4 linked regions of the Drosophila melanogaster genome follow. The protein of the gene in region 3 interacts with the protein of the main gene of each other region in a pairwise test. Each region holds a gene or a part of one and is shown on either strand. Other genes may lie near its edges.

What was found.
Region 1: the proteins of CG3557 (region 3) and CG4896 interact in a two-hybrid assay, tested with the Drosophila melanogaster proteins (one large-scale study listed by BioGRID).
Region 2: the proteins of CG3557 (region 3) and CG14410 interact in a two-hybrid assay, tested with the Drosophila melanogaster proteins (one large-scale study listed by BioGRID).
Region 4: the proteins of CG3557 (region 3) and crp interact in a two-hybrid assay, tested with the Drosophila melanogaster proteins (one large-scale study listed by BioGRID).

Annotation. Positions count from the first base shown.
Region 1 is NT_033779.5:1,175,691-1,183,312, reverse strand, and holds CG4896 (uncharacterized protein), read right to left. Parts: upstream 5,624-7,622; 5' UTR 5,452-5,623; exon of another isoform or gene 5,366-5,451; 5' UTR 5,364-5,365; coding exon 5,269-5,363; intron 5,206-5,268; coding exon 4,846-5,205; intron 4,473-4,845; coding exon 4,244-4,472; intron 4,187-4,243; coding exon 4,117-4,186; coding exon of another isoform or gene 4,082-4,116; exon of another isoform or gene 3,862-4,081; coding exon 3,788-3,861; exon of another isoform or gene 3,454-3,787; coding exon 3,376-3,453; intron 3,317-3,375; coding exon 3,190-3,316; exon of another isoform or gene 3,101-3,189; coding exon 2,864-3,100; intron 2,801-2,863; coding exon 2,387-2,800; intron 2,319-2,386; coding exon 1,520-2,318; intron 1,459-1,519; coding exon 1,209-1,458; intron 1,144-1,208; coding exon 1,027-1,143; 3' UTR 859-1,026; downstream 1-858. Other genes in the region: CG5126 (uncharacterized protein), read left to right, coding at 1-818; CG4887 (uncharacterized protein), read right to left, coding at 5,941-6,057, 6,122-6,371, 6,432-7,212, 7,270-7,622.
Region 2 is NC_004354.4:14,834,655-14,838,335, reverse strand, and holds CG14410 (uncharacterized protein), read right to left. Parts: upstream 1,612-3,681; coding exon 1,006-1,611; downstream 1-1,005. Other genes in the region: Grx5 (glutaredoxin 5), read left to right, coding at 234-522, 583-773; CG14411 (uncharacterized protein), read right to left, coding at 2,551-3,681.
Region 3 is NT_033779.5:2,383,867-2,387,769, forward strand, and holds CG3557 (uncharacterized protein), read right to left. Parts: upstream 1,927-3,903; 5' UTR 1,837-1,926; coding exon 1,641-1,836; intron 1,586-1,640; coding exon 966-1,585; 3' UTR 895-965; downstream 1-894. Other genes in the region: PIG-Wa (phosphatidylinositol glycan anchor biosynthesis class W a), read left to right, coding at 1-177, 231-865.
Region 4 is NT_033779.5:16,284,254-16,289,768, forward strand, and holds the start of crp (cropped), read right to left. Parts: upstream 3,478-5,515; 5' UTR 2,937-3,477; coding exon 2,845-2,936; intron 1-2,844. Other genes in the region: pkaap, read left to right, coding at 4,191-4,218, 4,347-4,619, 4,890-5,515.

The sequences.
Region 1 (7,622 bases), 1.2 Mb from region 3:
AGCCGAACGTTCATGCTCGTTTGCGCGCCGGAGTGGTGGACATGCCCTTCGTGTCCAGCTCAGGAAAGGGCATCTTTGATGTCCTCTATCGCGTGGCTTTCGATCGGTTCTACGAGTTCTACGACCGGCAAAAGGAGCAGCTCCTCCAGGGGGCAGACCCCGGATTCGGGGCCGCCATCGAGCGACTGCGGGAGAAGTACTTCAAGCAGCCAACTCTCCTGCTGGAGAGAATCCGCACCAGCTCCTTTGCCGAAGATCAACCGGACAGCCACTTTGCCACCTTTCTGCACGGCGACTACAACAGGAACAACGTGCTGTTCCACTACGGCGCTGAAGATAAGGTGGACGCTATCAAAGCCATCGATTTCCAGGAGCTGCGCTTCAGCACTACGGCCATTGACCTGAGCTTCTTTATGTACATGAACACGCCATCCGAAGGAAGGAAGGAGATCTACGCCGACTTGTTGCGCAAGTACCATCGAAGCATGATCGAAATGTTGGAACTGGTTCTGCGCCGAAACCGGAACGAGTTGACCGACGATCGGGTGGACCAGTTGCTACAGGAATACAGCTTCGAACGCTTCAATGCCCACTTCAAACGATATGCCTTCTACGGACCAATGGTATGCATGCACTTCCTTCCCTGGCTGCTCGGCACCGAGAAGGATTGCGCCGAGTTGTCCCGCCTCTTCGAGACGGATATGCACGGCCCCGCCTTCCACCAGTTGTCCTTGGACATCGCTGGCGATGAGGCGAACCAGGAGATCTTCAAGACCGTTCGTCACGCCTATGAGCATGGCTACATGGACGAGATTTAGATTCCCTTGCACAATTCCATACTTAAAGCATTTACAATTTAAATTTAAACCTAATTTGAGACTGTATTTACGAACTATTTACAATTTGAACTTCGCAACTAATGCTAAATGAACGCGACAAGGTGGAGGAAGTGTAATCGAGGTAAACAACAATGCTTAAATGCCCCTATATTCAAGCGGAATAAAATCATACACTTTAAGAAGAGTCTCAGGCGTTCTCATAACGCTGCTTCATCATCTTTTTGATGTAGGATTTGTAGTCGTTCCCAGGCGCCATATGGCCAGTGTTGTTGCCCAGCCCCACGTTGTTAGAACGACCATCAGCCTGTGGATACACATTGACATTGAATTATCCATATTTTGCCATTCGTCGCCCTCGTCGACTCCTACCTCTATGATCTCGGTGCGTCCCTGGTTCTTTTTGCCCAGTCCCTGGCCCTCCGACCAGCCCATCTTCTGCATCAGGCGGCTGCCCACGTTGGTCGAACTGATGGGCATGGCTGCAGTGGCGCCAAAAGAATCCTTCTGGCGCGACTGCAAAGTCTTTATCTCTTGCTCGAAACGCTCCCGGCTCCTATTTGGTGGAGGAGGATCGCTCTCACCGTACTTCAGCCTGCGTTCCTTGGCACGATCACGATAGCTAAGTACGGGTAAGTAAATTAGTGAGTTTATCTCCATTCTAGCAGCATATTCCCACTTACGATAGACCCTCATCCGTGCCAGCCTCAACTGCGGGATTCCGTTTAAGCTTGTCCAGATTCTCCTTGTGTAGATTCGACATTTTCAAATGCTTCTGCAAGATGTCCAGCGATTGGAAGGCACGCATGCAGAGCAGGCAAGTAAGTTTTTGGAAGTCCACGTAGTCAGATTCATCGCTAATGGCTCGTTTAGTCCCAACGCTAGCTTCAAGTGCTTTCTGATTGGCACTATTATCATCTTCCGAGTCAGAAGGTCCTCCATAAGCACCAACCAATTTGCTTATCGCTGGAGGTCCTGCCTCCGGTACATAGTCGTTGAGCTTGCCAAGCTCCTTCTTCTCAAGGATTGAGAATCCCACATCAGCATATGCCCCTTGGGAAGCACGGGAGGTGGTGGCCGCCTCAGTATCCGACAGGATAGGCTGCGGCGTTGCCACTGCTGTGTAGTCCTTTTTTTGGTTTAGCTGCTTGGCCCACTTCTCCATGTCCTTGACGATCTTCTTGGCCACCTTCACCTTGTCGGGCTTCCCCCCAGCTTCCTCCTTTTCTTTTTCCTTCTCCTTTGCCTTTTTGGCCTCCTCCTCCTTTTTCTCGGCATCGGCTAATACTTCCTTGAGGGCTGCCTGAGTGGAAGCGGGTGTGGCCAGCACATAGGTGCTCCGCTTCTGATCCCAGTACAAATACGCGCCCGTCTCGTTGTTGTAGTAGTACTGCGAGTGGGCATCATAGTAGAGTCCTGTAACGTGGTCGTAGTAGTAGCCGGAGGTCTCGTCGTACTGGTACTTGGACACATCGGGAGTATCTAACCATTGAGCATGAAATATTCGACATTACAGGAGCGCATAGATAGAATAGTGTGCGCTCACTTACCGTATTTCTTGCCATCATTCCCCTTGGGAGCACTTTCACCCCTGGCAAGGAAGGCGACCTTCGCCTCTGTCACCGAAACCGTGGTCTCCATCTGGCTGACCTTCCGTTGCTTGCGCTGGATGGCCGAGAGAGCAACGGCAGCGCCGGAGTTGGCCTCCGTCACTTGACGATCTCTGCAGTTCTTGCTTATTTCAGTCGTGTAATAATCCGTATAGTACTGGACGTAGTTAGCATGCTCCAACGGATTCGAGGCATACACGGATGCACTGTACTCCGCAAGACGAGGCACATCCGCCAAAGTGTAGGCCGCCGTAATGGCCGACGGAGACATCGCTGTTTCACCTGCTCTAAAAAAGTTGCCTTCGGCTGGCATCATTTGACGGTTTTCGGAGTCAATGCAGTAGGTGACGATAACTGAAGGGCATGGATTAAAGTTTTGTTTTTTAATTATGAAATAATTAAGAAGTAATAATTTACCTGTTTTGTCGTCCAGAGTGAGTGGCGGATCCAACGCCGTCAGCCCGTTGAACACGTTCATAGAATCAATGAGTGTGTCAAAATTGAGGTAGCAAATGCCCCGAGATGCATTGGTTAGGGCGTCGCGACTGACCAGCACCTTGCTGACTGTTTTGGCCAGTTCGGGCAGGCGCTGCTGAAGGGCAGTTAGCACGCCCTCCTCGTTTGTCAGCGCGTCCAAGCCGCGAAGCATGATCTCTGCATGGGGAAAGCGTGGCAGGTTAGTGGGGTATTTAGCTGATTAGCTAGGAAACGGCATTGAAAGATATTGCTCATGGTGGATATACTTTTTGTGAGGATTTGGCTGATCTCGTCGACGCCCTCGCCGGCTCCGTAAAGAGCATTCTCGCTCTCCGCCCGCGACGCATTGCACATGTAGCATTGGAAGCGGCGCTTAAAGTTGCTGGCACCACACTGAAGGATGGCGAAAAAAGCTAATTATTGTTGCCAATCTGTATCTTAACGGAGCATACCTTAATGCAAGTCCAGTCTGAGATGCGAGTGTGACTATACTGCATGGTGACACGATGATCGCCCAGTTGGAGGACTCCCTGAACGGAAAAATAGAAGAGGTAAAATTGGAATTAGTAACTGAAACTGCTGATCAGGCAAATCGTTCACAGACTACACAGTCACCAAGATTGCATCTGTGTTTTTCGACATCACGCAGATGCTGGTTGCTTCCTTTACGTAAGATTCGATTCCGCCTTTGAGTTCAGTTCCCTGATCTAAGACAGAAAAATGGAAGGGACAGGCAGCCCACCAGCAGAATTGAACTCAAGGCACACATTTTTCAACAGTTGATGCCAAGCTATCGGATCTTGCCGTCATTTCTATTTTGGCGGATACGAGAAGATTCAAGATTCTTGTGGTTTTTAGGGATACCTGGGTTAACTCCATCCAACGAGTCGCCTCCTCAACGGTTTTAAACTCGACAAATGCAAAACAGCGTGAGGCACCTAAATTTTAGATAGAAGTAGATACGAAAATGTTTGGTCAAAAAATGTTGGTTGTATCATTAGCATTGTGTCATTTTTGGGGATTGTGTTTTTGTTTCGGTTTGTAGTTTTCTATATGTTTTTGCTGATGTCGAAGCCAAGTATAATTGAAATTGCTATAAGTCCTACATCGAACATGTTGCTGGGCACGCAATACTCACGCTTTCTCTACAATTTCACTTTAAATCGAATGTAACACACGGAAATGTAACCCACCTGTTTGTTGCTTCCTCATCACGCGAATGGATGTGGGCTCCAGGTCGACCTTGATCAGCTCGCCCATGATCTGTGGAGGATTACTTGGTTAATTTTACATTCGTTCTGCTTATCGCTTAAACATTACGTCTGCTTCCGTGACGTGCTTCTTCAGACCGAAGAGGATTATGTTGTTCAAGGGCTCAACGCTGCTGCCACTGTTGTAGGCACCTCTCTGCCTGAATTCGCTGGCCATGTCGCTGTCCTCGTCCGAGGAACACCGTCTATCTCGATCGCGCTCCTTCTCGCGATCTCTGTAACTGCTGCTGGAGTTACTATTTCCATTATTATTGAACTGCCGCTGGTCATTGCTGCGGCTGAAAGGAAAGCGATTCTTTAAGGTCATACAATGAGCACTTTGTCGAATAAATTTTCGTTCGGTTCGTTTGAAACCATCGTTTGCATACTATCCACTGTAATTAAAGGCATCCAGCATGAATATTTCATAAGATGATTTGTATGCATTTATGCGAACAAAGGGAAGTGTACATTACTGAATGGGTTGATTTCTAATTATTTTGACTTTTATTACAAGTGATTAGCAAATGAAAGGTCTTTTAAACTAGTGAAAGAGGAGTCCTCCTTCTTATGGAAGCCTTGTGAATGGAAACATAGAACTTAGCTTAATCTTAATCTCAGTGATAACACTGAGCACGATATGGGTAATATGCAATATGTATCATTTCTTACCTGCTGCGCTCCGATCCCCGATCGAAGTCATCATGGTTGCGCTCTCTCGAAACGCGATCGTAGTTTTTCCAGCGGTGATCGCGGTCCTTATCCATATCCTGGCCACTCTTGTCGTAGTTGCTATCGTGATCCCTGCGACCCTGGCTATCAGCATGCCGACGATCGTATTTGTCCTCGCCGTGGCGCTGGTCAAGGTTCTGTCTCGAGTTGTAGTTTCCCTGATCCTCGTAATCCTCGTTGATCAGGTCGCGGTACAGATCGCGATCCGGACTGCGGTCGTTTCTATAGTGTGAGGACCGCTCCCGACTGCGCGAACGGGAGTTGCGACGTCTGTACTCATTGCGGTCCCGACTTCGTTCCCTGAAATAATCGCAATTGGTAGTAATCCACTAAGAGGCTCCAGGTGGACAAAGGACTACCTACCTGGATCGGGATCGGGAGCGACTGTAGCGTCTGTAGCCCGATTCGCTGCCGTTTCCGTTGCCGCCCGAGAAGCTGTGACCATATCGAGAATCCATATCTAATGCGAATCGATTGTAATTAAATGCAGTGTTTGTGATTTGGCCTTTTGCCATTAGATGAACCGTCTATGTGCGCACATCTTACTTGGTTACCACGACTGTAACAGGATTGGAAGCTGGTTAAACTTGTTCCCGAACTGGAAGTCTCTTTGCATTCAGGCAGAAACAATCAGTTATCCGGCCAAAAAAAAAAACCCGAATAGAAAAATTCTCGGTCTTCTTTTTTGCCGTTCACCCGAAGTATCTGACTGCCAGTTATCGATAACTGACCGATAGCTCCAGGGCTACCAAGTGCCAGCTAACAGTTGTTTCCCAACACCAAGCAAATTTAAACTTTACACCGTTACATTTTATTTTGTACATTCGAAAAAGGATTTAAATTCGCTTAATCAGAAACTATTAACTAAACGGTCACACTTGCTCGTGGACTTAAAAAAACGCCAATCTGTTAGGAAAACAATGCTCAAGAAGCTTCATATATAATATGGAAATAATTTTTGCTTCGGTTGAAAAGCTGAATTAAACGGCGACTTTAGTTGAAATGAAACATGTGAAACGGCTAAAAACCAATTTCTCAAGCATTCTCGTAGCGCTGCTTCATCATCTTCTTTATATAGGATTTGTAGTCGTTGCCCGGTATCATCTGTCCCGATTTGTTGCCCAAGCCCACGTAATTGGAGCGTCCGTCCGCCTGAGGGAACCCAAAATGCTTAATTTTCTTAATTCATTTTATAGCTTGCCGTCAGCTCAGTTACCTCTATGATCTGGGTGCGTCCCTGGTTCTTCCTGCCCAGTCCCTGTCCCTCCGACCAACCCATCTTTTGGAGCAGTCGACTGCCCACGTTGCTCGAACTGATGGGCATGGCTGGAGTAGCGCTAGTAGACTGCTTTTGCCGCGACTGCAGTGTCTTGATCTCCTGCTCGAATCGCTCCCTGCTCCTATTTGGTGGGGGAGGATCGCTCTCGCCGTACTTCAGCCTGCGCTCCTTGGCACGATCACGATAGCTGGGAAAGAATATGAATTCAATGATAATATACTCCACCACACATCGCGATTTCACTTACGCTAGTGCCTCTTCGATGCTACTGCTAGTGTTTTGATTGAGCTTGGCCAGGTTCTCCTTGTGCAGAGTGGACATCTTCAAGTGCTTCTGGAGTATTTCCAACGATTGGAAGGCACGCTTGCAGAGCAGGCATGTCAGTTTATGGAAGTCCACGTAATCGGACTCTTCAGCACCTCCTCCGCCGCTTACAACCGCTGAACTCTGTGTGTTTTGCGAACTCGCAGCATTGTCCTCTTCAGAGTCCGATGTTCCGCCATAGGCATTGACAAGCTTGTTCATTGGACCCACAGTCGGGTTTGGCGCATAGTCGTTTAACTTGCCCCTCTCCTTCTTCTCGAGAATGGAGAATCCCACATCAGCATATCCCCCTTGATTGCCACGCGAAGTGGTGGCTACCTCGTTCGCCAATATTGGTTGTGGCGTGGCCACAGCTGTGTAGTCCTTTTTCTGGTTTAGCTGCTTGGCCCACTTCTCCATGTCCTTGACGATCTTCTTCGCCACCTTAACCTTGTCGTGCTTGTTTCCACCCTCCTTCTCCTTCGCCTTTTTGGACTCCTCCTCCCCCTTTTGCTCGGCGTCGGCCAGGACTTCCTGCAGAGCTGCCTGAGTGGAGGCGGGCGTGGCCAGCACATAGGTGCTCCTGCGCTGATCCCAGTAAAGATACGCGCCCGTCTCGTTGTTATAGTAGTACTGCGAGTGGGCATTGTAGTAGAGACCCGTGGTACTGTCGTAATAGTAGCCGGATGTCTCATCATACTGGTACTGCGTCACATCGGGAGTGGCTGCAACATAATGAAACATAATAAAATGCTAGCATACTCAAGTGAGTGGCGACATACGGTATATCTTTCCATCGTTGCCCTTGGGCGCACTGGCCACCTGAGCAGCCAATGTGGCCTTCACTTGCGCCGCTGCCTGTGCGGCAGCTGTGGCCGCCGCTGTGATCGTGGTCTCGATACTGCTCATCTTCTTCTGCTTGCGCTGGATGGCCGAGAGGGCAACCGCTGCTCCGGAATTGGCTTCCGTCAAATGGGAATCCCTGTTATTTTTGTTTATATCTGCCGTGTAGTACTCCGTATAGTACTGGACATAATAAGCGTGCTCTGCGGGATTCGAAGCGTACAGGGAGGCACTATATTCAGCGAGTCGTGGCACATCGGCCAGAGTATAGTTTCCACCCAATCCTGAGGGC
Region 2 (3,681 bases), on a different chromosome or scaffold from region 3:
TAACTGACTACTCCTGCTTTATAGTTTCTATAATATGCATAAAAAAAAGTATTAAAATATTATGAAAATTCTTGAAATGCTTATAATCGAAAACCGTTCGATAGTCGATAGGCCGTTCAGTCGCCACTCGAGCGAGCTATCGATACCTTTTTAGCTGACACTTGAACAGCACTTGTTTTATTAGATAATATTGCTAATATTATTATTACCTCGACCAAGTCGCTGCCGTCAAGATGAACCGAATTTGCCAGAGTCTCCGCCATCCGAGATACCAGATTCTCGCCACCACAGCACCGCAATCCCTGCTCACCCGCTTTCTTGCGGCGGATGCGGCCACCGGCGCGGCAGTGGACAAGGCGACAATGGACAAGCTGGTGCGCACCAACAAGGTGGTCGTCTTCATGAAGGGCAACCCACAGGCGCCACGCTGCGGCTTCAGCAATGCGGTGGTGCAGATTATGCGGATGCACGGTGTCCAGTACGATGCCCACGATGTGCTGCAAAACGAGTCCCTGCGACAGGGTGAGTACGCTCCACATATGCATTAGCGTGCCAGCGTTAAACCTTATTGCTTGCGTGCAGGTGTCAAGGACTACACCGACTGGCCGACCATTCCGCAGGTGTTCATCAATGGCGAATTTGTCGGCGGTTGCGACATCCTGCTGCAGATGCACCAGAGCGGCGATCTCATCGAGGAGCTCAAGAAGGCGGGCATCATTTCGGAGCTGCTGAAAGCGGAGGAGGCTAAGCAGCAGGACGACAAGGCTAAGTGATGATTCAAAAAGAGCGCCCAAAGATCAAATTCCCTTCCTAAATCTGTTAGTCACGCAACGTTTTTATTATTAAATGTTTAACTCATAACGACAATGGTGTGCGTTGTTCCGTGTGATTTAAATGGCAGCCAATGGCATATAATCGCAGGCGCTCATTTATGATTGTGATTAAGATATAGCAGGCTTTGTAAAAGTACCATTATAATGTAAGCAAGCATTCTATAGGATGAATTCAGTTGCGCGTCCTGCGCCTCTCGTCGATTTGCTGCAGGAGGCATAGGATTCGACTGCGTGCCTGCAGAGCATCGTCCACCTGCAAGAGGGAAAAGCACTGTTGTCGATGCTGCGGATTAGTCATATTCACCAGGATCTCCATCAGGTTGTCGGCTATGGAGTGGCGCATCGTTTCCTCCGATGGCATTGGTGGAATCACGCGACTTGGACGAGTTGGAGTCGATTGAGCGGGATTTCTAAGTGGCAACTGATTCCCGACGTACTGCTCTTCATTGGGATACTCATCAGTTTGCTTTTCCAGATCCTTTGGTACCTGATTTTCCATCTCAATATCTTGGTTCTCATTTAGAAGCATTTTCTGATTAATCTTTAAATATTCTGAATTGTCGAGTTTATCTGCAGTCTTTGCATCCTTTTCTGCTTTTAAAATGCGGTTGTTTGCCAGATTCTCAACTTTAACTTCCATTATTTCATGCTTTAAGTCCAAATATTTATCATTTCTTGTTGATAGCTTCTTATTTTGAGATTCATGATTCCGTTCTGTAATTATAATGATTTTCATTGTGTAATCCTTTATGTCCTTGAACGTATTTGTATTACCCATTTCGCTGAGTGTTTAATCTAGTTTCTCGTGCCAATAATAAATTATAATAATAGCATATTTATAAATTCATTATAACTTCTATGTGCTATGATTATAACTGAAAGTCCAAGCGAACTATAAAATGAAATCATAAATAAAAATCGGGAATTAAACAGTTATTTATCGAAGCTTGTAATTATGTTAACCCTTATATGGCTCCTTTTTTTTAAATTATAAAATCTTAAACTTTTTATTGAGTTACATTAAGAACCCAAAATTATTCAGAATAGCAAACACAAATCGTTTCGAAAGCCAAACTGTTAGTCAATTATTTTATCTTTTCAATTATCCAACTATCCACTTCAATTTAAAATCATAAGCTTACATATTAATGCGATTTTTTTTGCTGACTCACCCATATATATTCATAGTTCCTAATTCGTTTAATTCTCAAAAGTTGCCGCAATCAGAACACATTTTGTTGATTTTACACATTTGATTTATTTAAATATACATATCGATCAATAGTCTTTCATATATTTAGTTACATACAATATAATACATATTGATTTAATTGGTGTTTTCGTACGTTTTCGTTTTTGCGGATTTGTGTTTTGAATTCGTTTTACATCAATTGCTTGTCGTTACGTTTGTTAATCGTATTATTTACGTTTAATTTTATAATGCAGCGATGCAATGCAGTTTGGTGGTAGTAAAACGAAATAAAAAAAAACTTATACCATAACTTGCTTATTAGTTAACAATAATCAAAAGTGTTAAAAGCGATATGCCATGTATATGTGAGGAAATTGCACCTCTGTGTGTGTGTGTGTGTGTGTGTTTTTTCTTCTTCTTCTCAAATTATATTCTGTTTTTTGTGTAATACTTCGAAAGTTCAGCGTTTTGAATAAACAAGTGGAACGAGTGTGTGTGTGGTGGTGTCTCCGATTTGTGTGCGGATCAGACAATGGACGACTTGTCCAGAAAGGATGAGGTCTCCATCAGCAGCTCGCTGCTGCTGCTCAGAATGTCGTACAGCTGGAGCGGTGCATCTCCGGCGATGGGATTCCCGAAGGGAAAGAACGACGACAGGGTCGATAGCTGCAGATTGCCGGTAACCGATGTGAGTCCGCTAGTGGGTGTGGCGGCCTTCGCCGTCGGCTTCCTGCGCCGCTCCACACCGTCGACGAACTCGGCCTCGTCCTCCTTGTCGGGCTTCTCGTCCTTGTGCTGATTGGGACGCGATTCGCCGGCGAACTCGTAATACGCATCGGGTAGATCGTCAAAGTTTTGATAATCCAGGCAGCGCTGTACCTTTGCTATGTTGCTCAGCAGCAGGCGATGATAGAGATCCACCTGCGGCTGGCCGCCGCCGCGTATATCCAAAATGGGCAGCCAGCGGTAGTAGCACTGATCCCACACCTGCAGATCGAAGATGCGATGTGCCGGCTGCAGGTAACGATCCTGCGGCACTGACGAAGCGGTCGCAAAGAGCTGCGGATTGATGGTGTTGCGCGAGGGTGTGACACCACTAGCGGCGCCATGCGCTCCCTTACTACCCACCGCCAGGGATCTGCGATGCGCCACGGCAGCCGCCTGGGCGCCAAGATCGCCCCTTTGGCGCTGGTACAGCGGATTGCTAAAGAACATTTTGTCCTTGTCCGAGAACTGCTCGCCCCAATCCCAAACGGGACGCAGGACGAGCTGCGAGTCGGTCACCGCCTTCAGTCGCTGGGCCTGCGTATCGAACTGGAAGGTATCGAAGATGGGCATGAAGCACGAGTCCCACAGCGTGGTCAGGTATGTCTGCGTGAACTCGAACTCGTCGGGGAACTGCTGCAACAGCTGCCACACGCAATCGAGGAAGAGCAGAAACACTGGACTCTGTTCGCTGTCGAATAGTTCGGCATTACCGCCGGCCGGCTGGGCAGGATAGACATGACCCAGGCGTCGCTGAAACGGATGCTCCAGGGCCACCCACTCCTTCTGCACCAGCGATTGGAAGCCATCGATAGTACGGAAATGCGGATCGAGCAATAGCTGCGCCAGACTGCTAATCACACAGCAGAGATCACGGCCATTCGACTCCTG
Region 3 (3,903 bases):
TGCTGGTCCTAGGGCTTGCTCGCACCATTGTCATCACTTTGATCGACTATCACCAGGATGAGACGGAATACGGCCGCCATTTGAATGCCTTCTTCATACTGGGATTCACGAAATTGCTGGGCAGCTGCTATAGTCTGTTGGTAAACTCTGATGAACAGCTCCTGGCACTTGCAATAGGTAGGTCCAGAAAAAATAATAATGCAATAAATTTTAATTTCCTACGATTTTAGGTTTGCTATTCCTTCACGAAGTGGTGCTCCAACTGGGACTCTCCGAATTCGTCATGTCTTCTGCACCCCATGAGGGGTTTTTCAGTGCCAATCGGGAAGGCTTAAGTTCCCTACACGGATGTGTGGCTCTCTATTTGCTCAGCATTTACTTTGCCAAGTGGTATACTTCCCGTGATAGCCTGACTTATCAAGGACTAATAAGAAAGTTAAAGAGTATTCTTTTCGTGGCCATTCTCTGTTGGAAATTGGTTTTTATAAGTTCTTTTCTAACGGGCATAGCACGTGTAACTTTTAGTTTTGGCTATGTAATCTGGATTTTCGCTGTCTCCCTAAGCCTAATTGTGATCTACGCGTTCTTCTTTGAGCTGAAACTCGTACGGCCAGATATTTGTTCTAAAAAGTCAATTAGAGATGACGGGCAAAAGAACATATCCTTGCCCACCTTTGTTGAAAGTCTGAACATGAACGGTCTGACTCACTTCATGATCTCCAATTTCCTTACGGGAATGGTCAACATGTCCCTGAACCCGGGTCATCGAAGTGATCTGGAGTCTGTTGTTATACTGTCCATCTATATGTTTGTTTGTGCTGGAGTGGTCTTCCTTATGCTAAAAAAAGGCATACGTGTAGCTTAGTATTTGTTGTATAAATTAAATAGCAAAATACAAAGTACGGGTGAAAGTTTATTTTTAACTGACCACAGGCTAAAAAGTATACAAAACGAGTACCATCTTCCTAAGGACCACAAATAGACTCAAAGGGCATGATGCAACCATTCGGCATGACTAGAAAAAGGATGATGGGTGCCTCCGACCCGATCTTAGAGGGAGAGTTGTCTACATCGGAATCCTTGTACACCTCGTACACCATGCACCCATCGTTGCCACGAATCAAACGGGTCCACAACCACTTTTGGTCCTTGTGTCCTTGGGCAATCTGGGATGTAAGCTTGTCTTTCAGCTGTTGACAGGCCACCGAGCAGGTGGAAATTGATCGGCTTATCTGTTCCCTTATCGTGGCGCTGCCCGCCTTATTTCTCAACGGAATATCCTCCGCCGGGTGATCGAAGTCCACCCTGGGAGTACGCTGGCGGGGACAACAGGCAGCGGAACTAAGCCGACTCGCGGTCTTGAAGCAGGAAGATTTCGGAGTATCCATTGGACTGCAGGGCACTAGTGGAGCTTTTGGACTGGCGCAGCATCTCGTTGGCTTGGGATAACAACAGATAGTCGACGGCTTGGAGCAGCATGTACTCCAGGCCGATGAAGATGGATAAGCCGAGCTGCTTCCGGAACTGCAAGGGCTTGGTGCACAGGGTGCTGGTGGTGGGCAGGATTCCTTCTTAAAAGCTGATCCTACGGGTATATTTTATCTATGGACGCATTTATATTACTTCCTTCGATTACTGACCTTCATTCGACAACTCCAGCAATGGAATTATTTTCGTGGCGCCCGAAAGATAGAGGATGCGGTCCAGGATCGTCATGATGACCTCATCTGGATGCGGGCCCAGCATGTCGAAGAGTGGAGCCTGCGGCTTCTTCCCCAATCTGAGACCCGTTGGACACTCACAACGCGTCGTCTGAGTGGCACAACAGGATTTCATGGTTTCGTCTGCTAGTGTTGGTATAAATAAACACCCAATTTTTCCAAATGATATTCTCCCAAAAAGCCGGACCGGAAGTAAGAGATATTTGAGTGCTTAGCATGGACCTGCTTTGTCAGGAGCCATGGGCAGATGTCAAAGGTGCGATATCCGGCTTAGGCACACGGCGAAGGCGTCACAAAAGATAAGATTTCTATTAAGGAAATGACTGGAATTGCTTGCATTGTCCCTGGGCATCCAGGATGAGCACAGATCCCGAACGGCTGGGCAAGGACATTTAATTTAACGGCGCAAACAAAGACCAAATCAAAGTTCAGCCTCCGGGGGAAGCTAAGCTCACAAGCGACCAGGGTTAAAGGACCGCGCAAATGACCAGCAATGTGCTTCTTATTGTCAAAGGAAAGGACATCGAAAGGAGGTTTAACTATACGAAAACCTATCTACAAACCTTAGAGTTTTAAGTTAACATTTTCATTTCGTGACTTAGATACCTTGATGAAGATTAATTAAGATCAAGATTACTAATGATAAGATTCCTCAAAAATTCCTCACTGAAAAGGGTATCAGGCGTTCGCATTGCCGAACATACGTCTTTGGAATTTTTTCTATCCGACTCGAATGTAATTACGGCAACAGTTTCCGCTGCTGATGCGTAGCCTCTGCTCGCCATTCGACTTTGATGCGCTTTTAATGTCATATCCTGGCCAAGGACGAGGGCGTCGCCGGTGAATCTTATCTGATTTGGGCCAGCACAAATGCAATTTCCGTCCGCCAACCTTTCAACCCTTCCTGCCCACAAGCTATGCAGAGTTAATAGCTGGGAACCAAATATAATCATATAGTGTACCAGGAGGCGTGTCCTGGAAAAAGCAACAGGATGAGGCAAAACAGGAGAGCGGGAAGCACGAGCACCTGTTACCATAGGGGGTGGCTTTTTGGCTTTGATGACAGATTATTTTCATTAGCAAAAGAAGCGAATTGTTGTCCACTTTTGGGGAGAGTCGAATTATGAGCGTTAATTATTATGTTCATGTTTTTCCCCAGCATGTAGAACATGACATCCTGATTGATGTGGCCAACAATCAGGTAGAGAATTGGTTTTTCTGCTTACCGCATCTTTTTTCGAGCTGCCAATTTGCTGACGAGTTCCTTTTTTCGACTGCTCGTCAAATCGGATTCCATTCAGCGGGGCTTTCATAAAAAGAAATAAATAAAAACCCAAATATATCTGTGCATATGCATGAGTGTGTCTGCTGCGTGAAGGACTAAGCTCCTGGGCCCTGGGGAAATCGCTTAAGCCGTTCATAATGAATATCATGTGTACATGTGGGTGTGTGTGTCCATGTGTGTGGCAGTGTGGTGACTAAGCTGCAGGACCTTTTGCCAAGCGGCAAATGTGCGGAGAATGTGCAATATATGTCTGAACTATAGCTCCTCTGTGGCAGGACACCTACATGGTTCTGTTTAAAGGACTTAAATTCAGTTTTAATTCAGTTTCCCTAGCATTAAGCAATATATAGTTGCTTGCGATTGAATCGCCTCCTTCCATGCATTCTGAATTTTCTTACAATTTCCATAGAACTTTTCAAAGTTCCACATCAAAAACTGATTCGTTATGGCTTCCTCGAGCGTTTCTCCGCCTTCAATCCTTCACAGCAGCCCACTGCGTTACCACAGAAGTTCGTGACTTGGGCTGGGGCACAGACGCCCTAACAACTTCAGGCACATGGCAAACAAAATGCTTATCGAACAACAGTTTTTATCGGAGCTTATGCGTCATGGCAGCAGGCAGAGGAAGCCCCATTCCACAGGTCCTTTGAAATGCTTTTAGTGAGCGAAATTGCGCAATTGTGGAGCAATCAATGCGAAGCCAAAAAAAGTGTTGAGCAAATCGAAAGGAATCCAGGACAGAGAACGAAAGAGAAGTGCTTGGCATATACCAACTATCATTGAAAATAGATCATATTTTTAAAAACATTAAAACAACAGTTGAAATGCAACCCTATCATCTTATTTTAGCTTGCATGCTCTAAGACATCCTTTTTAGTGATATAAAAATACTAGCTA
Region 4 (5,515 bases), about 14 Mb from region 3:
CTTCCTCTCTTCGCCATGCCCCAAAAACTGTTGTACACAAAAATCATGTGTTTTTCATAAACAAGCCGTAGCGCTCCATCTCCCTTGCACACACCCTAGTTCGCCCTCTCTTTTGCTCGCAGGTTGCCAATAAATGCCGCATGGGAAAAAGCAAAAAAAAAAAAAAAAAAGCGGTGTGGAAATGAAACGAAAACAAGCGAAACGTTTTGGCATACGGAACGAAACACACAGAGCCATCGCCCAAAAATTTGCGCAGCAGATTTTAAGCCATGTGTTGGTATTAGTTTTCATTTCATTTCGGTTTTTTTTTCGCAAATTTGCAGTGGGTTTACGGCCTTAGCTTTTGTGTATATGTTTTTTCAATGAAACGTGTGTGGTAGTAAAAAATGTGTGTGTGGCGGCATCTGTACTTTTGCGCGCTCTTCTCTCTCCCACTGTCGCGCTCAACAAGCTTTTGGCTTTGAGTGCAACTCAAATGGGGCTCTCTTTCTCTCCCGCTGCTTATGTACTTCGATCAACTGGGGAGCGGCTCTTATAAAACTGCAGTGAGAGCGAGACGGAAAAAGAAAGAGTTGAGGACGCTCTGTTTCACTCTCGCACTCTCTGCTCCTCTTTTCCAGTCGAGTGGGGTAAAAACGGAAATGACGCCACACAAACAGAACCGTGCCAACAACAATAGCAGCCACAACACATGCTTTCGTAGTATTCGCAAATGTGCAACGGATGGAATTGAGAGAGGGAGAGAGAGAGAAAGATAGAGGTGGAGACTTTTAGCCAAGGCACGCTCTTTTATTTTAGCACCAACAACAAACAGACAGCAGCTGCTAAAACGCAGTTGTTATACCGTCCACACTGGTGGCAAAAATAACCGTGCCACCTTCGAAGTTTTAACGGTTATCTATCTATTCTGCAATTGATTGGTTTAAAATAGAAATGTAGCCTTGAAGTTTTGTGAACAGCTTTTTAGATTTTCATAAAATATAATCGTATTTTAATTACGTCTACTGGTTTAACTTAATGTATGCATAACAATTGGTTTTATTTGTATTTGAATAGTCCCTATACGTGCGTTTACGAAATGCTTGTATTTTCCTACCAACTATTTCGAAATACTAAATAGATCCATAAAACACAGAGGAAGTACTGGTTTTAATGCAGCAGCAAAAACATGTGGCATTTTGCCGAGTTTAAAATATTTATTTACCCGGTATATACGCAAGCTGAAATAAAAGTCTTGAAAAGCCAGCTGAAACGGATTAGTATAAGTGTGCAATCGCATACATATGTATATATTTCCGATTCTCTTCGGCGTTGTGCAAAAACATATGCTCGTGCGATAAGAAAAGGCGCCGCTTATGACGTGTGAAAAGCGAAAAGCGCTACCATATGATTCTGATAAGCCGGCAAGGGAAAAAGAAACTTTCGCTCTGAAAACCTGTGACATATTTGCGAAAGGAAAACGATCGAAAGAAAAGTAAGAGGGAAAATAAGAAATTAAAATAATACATTTATTTCTTAGTCAACTTATTTTCGACATTTCTCGGTACACTCATTCCTTGAGTACACAGAGAGAAAAATGGAGCCCCATTTATCTGAAAGGAATATTAGAGATACATATCTAAATCGATGTGGATAATGGTAAGAAAATGAACTCGTATTGTGTCATTTCTTTCAAATTGTTAATTAAACTCAGCAAACTGATCTTTAAATTAGATCCATTTTGCTTTCGGTGTAAAAAGAGATAAGCAAAGAGAGCAAAGGAAAAGGGAGAAGCATGTAAATAAAGTCGAAGCAAAATCATCTGATGATACGAATTTACCGGTACAGCTGATTTCATTTCAACTATGAACGCGAAAGAAGAAATAGAAATGTTGATTAGGCAACGCACGATAAGCGAGGAGGCGAGAAAGAGAGAGGGAGTGCGGGTGCGCAGCTGTTTTCTACCTCCATTAATTTGAACATATGAGCTAGAGCAAGAGCAGCAGAATAGGAAAGAGCCTGAGAAGAGAGAGAGGAGCTGAGAGCGAAACGCGATCGACGAACACAGAAAATAGCAAAAGCAGCTGTAACAAATTAAACCAAATATTTTAGGAAAAAGCAAAATGGTGAAAATAAAAACATACAAAATTATTTCAAAAGATCGCTTAAAGTCATTTATGTATCATACATATGTATCAAAGGTACAAATATTTGAGAAACTAAAAATACACCTCCATAATAGTATAGAAAAACCAAAAATGTATTTTTAATATTGTGGCTTCTACTGAACTCTACACTTCTAAAGTTAAAGCAAATAAAAAATCATCGTTTCTAACAGCTGTACCCTTGACTCATGTTTGTGCCATCACTGTTGCCCGTCTGCCGACACTGCTGACAAATTGACAAAACAGCCGTTTTACAATATGGACGCCGAAAGGCAGAGCGTAAAAACAGCAACAACACAAACGCTGGACGAGAGCGGCGGAAAAAAAGAGAGGATGTTGAGAAGGGGGCACAGACACGAACGACGAGACAAAAAAGGAGCACATTTATTCCAGCAACAAGAAAACGGCATGGAAATGGAATGGAATGCGACACACGCTAGCTTGCATGTGTGTGAGTGAGAGATGGGTCTTAATGGTGGTGGTGTTTTTGTGCCGTATTTGTTTTGTCGGCAAAACGGCGGCAAAAAGCAAACGAGAGAATTAGAGAGAGCGCGAGTGATACGGTGACGGAGAAAAGGGAGAGCACTAGCAAAGTAGTAAAAATAATCAATAATTTGCGTGATAAAAATGCAAGCCAAGCTGTTGACTCGCCTTGTTTTTATTTGAAACAAAAGAGATTTCGATTAAGATGCAAACTTACTGCAATTCCTCATCCAATTCCTCGGCGCTGTTGTATTCGGCGTGCTCTAGAATAACTTCCTCCGTTTTGATGGCAACCGGTACGGCGGACATGTTTAATCGTGTTTGTGTATTTGCTTACTATCGTGGCCAAAATGTCTGTGCCACGTGGTTTTTGTTGTTGCGCTGCTACTGCTGCTGCTTGACGGCTACATAAACATTTGCAATTTATTTATAGCCTGTTAACTTTATTGTATTTCGAACATACACATGCGTCAGCTGGTCTCAGCTGCTTTTTGTATTTAGCGGCAAATTGTTTGCCCGTCTCACTCACACTCGCACACACTAGCACTGCACACACAAGAGAGAGAGAGAGAGATGGGGATGGAGAGCGACTCTTAGCGCGTCCAAAAGTTCTTCAATTCACTATTCTGCACTCTATGACTTTTGCGCTCTTAGTGAGCATGAGATTTGCGTATTCAAATTCGCAGATGTTTTTTGTTTTAATTTGCCACCGCACTGGCACCAACACACGCGCGCTAATAGATTTCTGTAGACGGCGAATTGGCTGCACTGTACGATTTTTCCGATCGGAAGATGCGATATCCGTCCGGTCCGCTACGTGCGTTCAATTCGGCGATAAACAGCAGAGTGACCACGGCTGCCAAGGAAAAAATCGCACATAGGGAAATACATTGATGGCACTATCGATTACATTGATGCCACTGCGATATTTCGTATTTTTGCGCTTCACAACACTGAATTTTCGTTTGCTAAGGCGCCACCTATCTGCTTAATGTTTATATCCACCAATACGCCATCTGAATGGGTAAATTTGCAAAAATTGAAGACCGCGTTGTCCCAAAAAATTTCATAACTTTATTAATTTTAAACTAAAACTGAACTCCAAATATTTAAGTATTACAATATTTAAACATCGAAATAAGCGCAATTTCTACATTTTCTTTGTGAATATTGTGAATTATGTTTTCGCCGCTATTAGCCAACCGGTATTATGAATTTTCTTTCCGCAGCGAAAATTCGCCCAGTATTATGAATTCGCTTTTCGCCGTTAATATTCGCTGTGTTTCTGTGAGTTCGCTTTTCGCCGCTTGAATTCGCTGTTCGTTAAGATTGGTTTCGAATCCTTTTAGCAAAGACTCAACCCAAAACTGTGCAAACAGAGTGGCCAGCCAGCGAAAAAAAATTAAAAAGATTAGGTCGCAAAAAAAACCCTATCGCCTAAAACCATTTTCATAATATTTACCGTCGCACTGCATTAAATTATTTCATCGAATCTCCAGTTAATCGGCATTTTGAAGCACAAGAAGCACTTCTCGAATCAACCGAAAGCCGGAGAATGTAAAGATGTTAAATTACATCAAGAGGCACGCCAGTGAGTTAAAGAAATTAAAGAAATTTCGCTGCTGTTTTCACCCAACTCCCCTTCCCCGTTTCTTCTTCACCCCTCTTCCTCTTCTGTTGACACCAATTATATTTGGTTTTTTGTTGATTTTTATTTAGGCCGACGTCGCAGCAGCCAAGATGCCACGGATGCCATTTGTGGCCAAATGCCAGCGTATGATGTGGACACCAACGACGTTGCTGGAGCTGGTGATGCAGCCAACGCTCACAAACGACACTCGCTGCGCTCCACAACCAGTTTCTGCGACGAAGTGTTCCTAGAAGCGGAGGAGGAGGGCGGCGTGGGAACCACAGGAGGAGGAGGAGGAGGAGGAGGTGGTGGTGGTGGTGGAGGAGCCCCCTCCGATGGCATCAGTCTCGCCAGCAACGATGGTAATTACCTCATTGCCCATTGTTCAATTGCTCATCACGTTGGCACCTTTGAAACTGAAATGATTGGCAAATCGCAGCGTTATTCTCGACTTTCCATGATAAAACGTAGATAACACTGTTAATGCTTATAAGGAGCGATTCCACGTATCGAAAATCCTTAAAAGTGTGTCTACATAATAGTTGTAATTGTTGTAATCTTGAAACTCATTCACATATGGCAATTGGCATTTATGCTTTACTATATAACTATACCTTTTGCTTTCTTCCCAGACATTTTCACCTACAACTCACGCCTCTCCATGAATCTCGCTTCCATCGTCAACGATCCGAACTGCCTGAGCTACTTTGTTCAGTATCTGGACACCCGACAGGCCCTGCCGCTGATCAAATTCTACTTGGACATTGAGAACTTTAAGCGGGCGGCTCTGACGCAAGAGAAGGAGGAACCAGAGGAACCTCCTCGCAAGGCAATAGAACAATCTTCTCCGCACAAAGATGACAAAGATGTACCTGAATTGAAGACGCTGTGCGATCTGTCAATGCGCAAACCCCTCACAGACGACGAGAAGAGCCGCATCTATGCGGAGACCAACAAGCAGCTCAATAGGCAAAAGTCTGGAACGGATAGTGTGCTGAACGCCGAGCTATCGCGGGCCAGCATCAGCGATGCCATTGCCATATACCAAAAGTATCTGATAGTGAACGCCAGCCTGCAAGTGGAGCTGCCCATCGTCATCCTTGCGCATATATCGCTGCTACTTTGCGGAAGGGATAAGTCCGAGTGTAGCAAACCAATTCCGGCCAGCTGCTTTGACGAAGCTAGAGAGTTTGTGCTGGAGCAGCTGGAGCGGGATCATGTGCAGGGATTTCTACAGAGCGGCTACTATTCTACATAC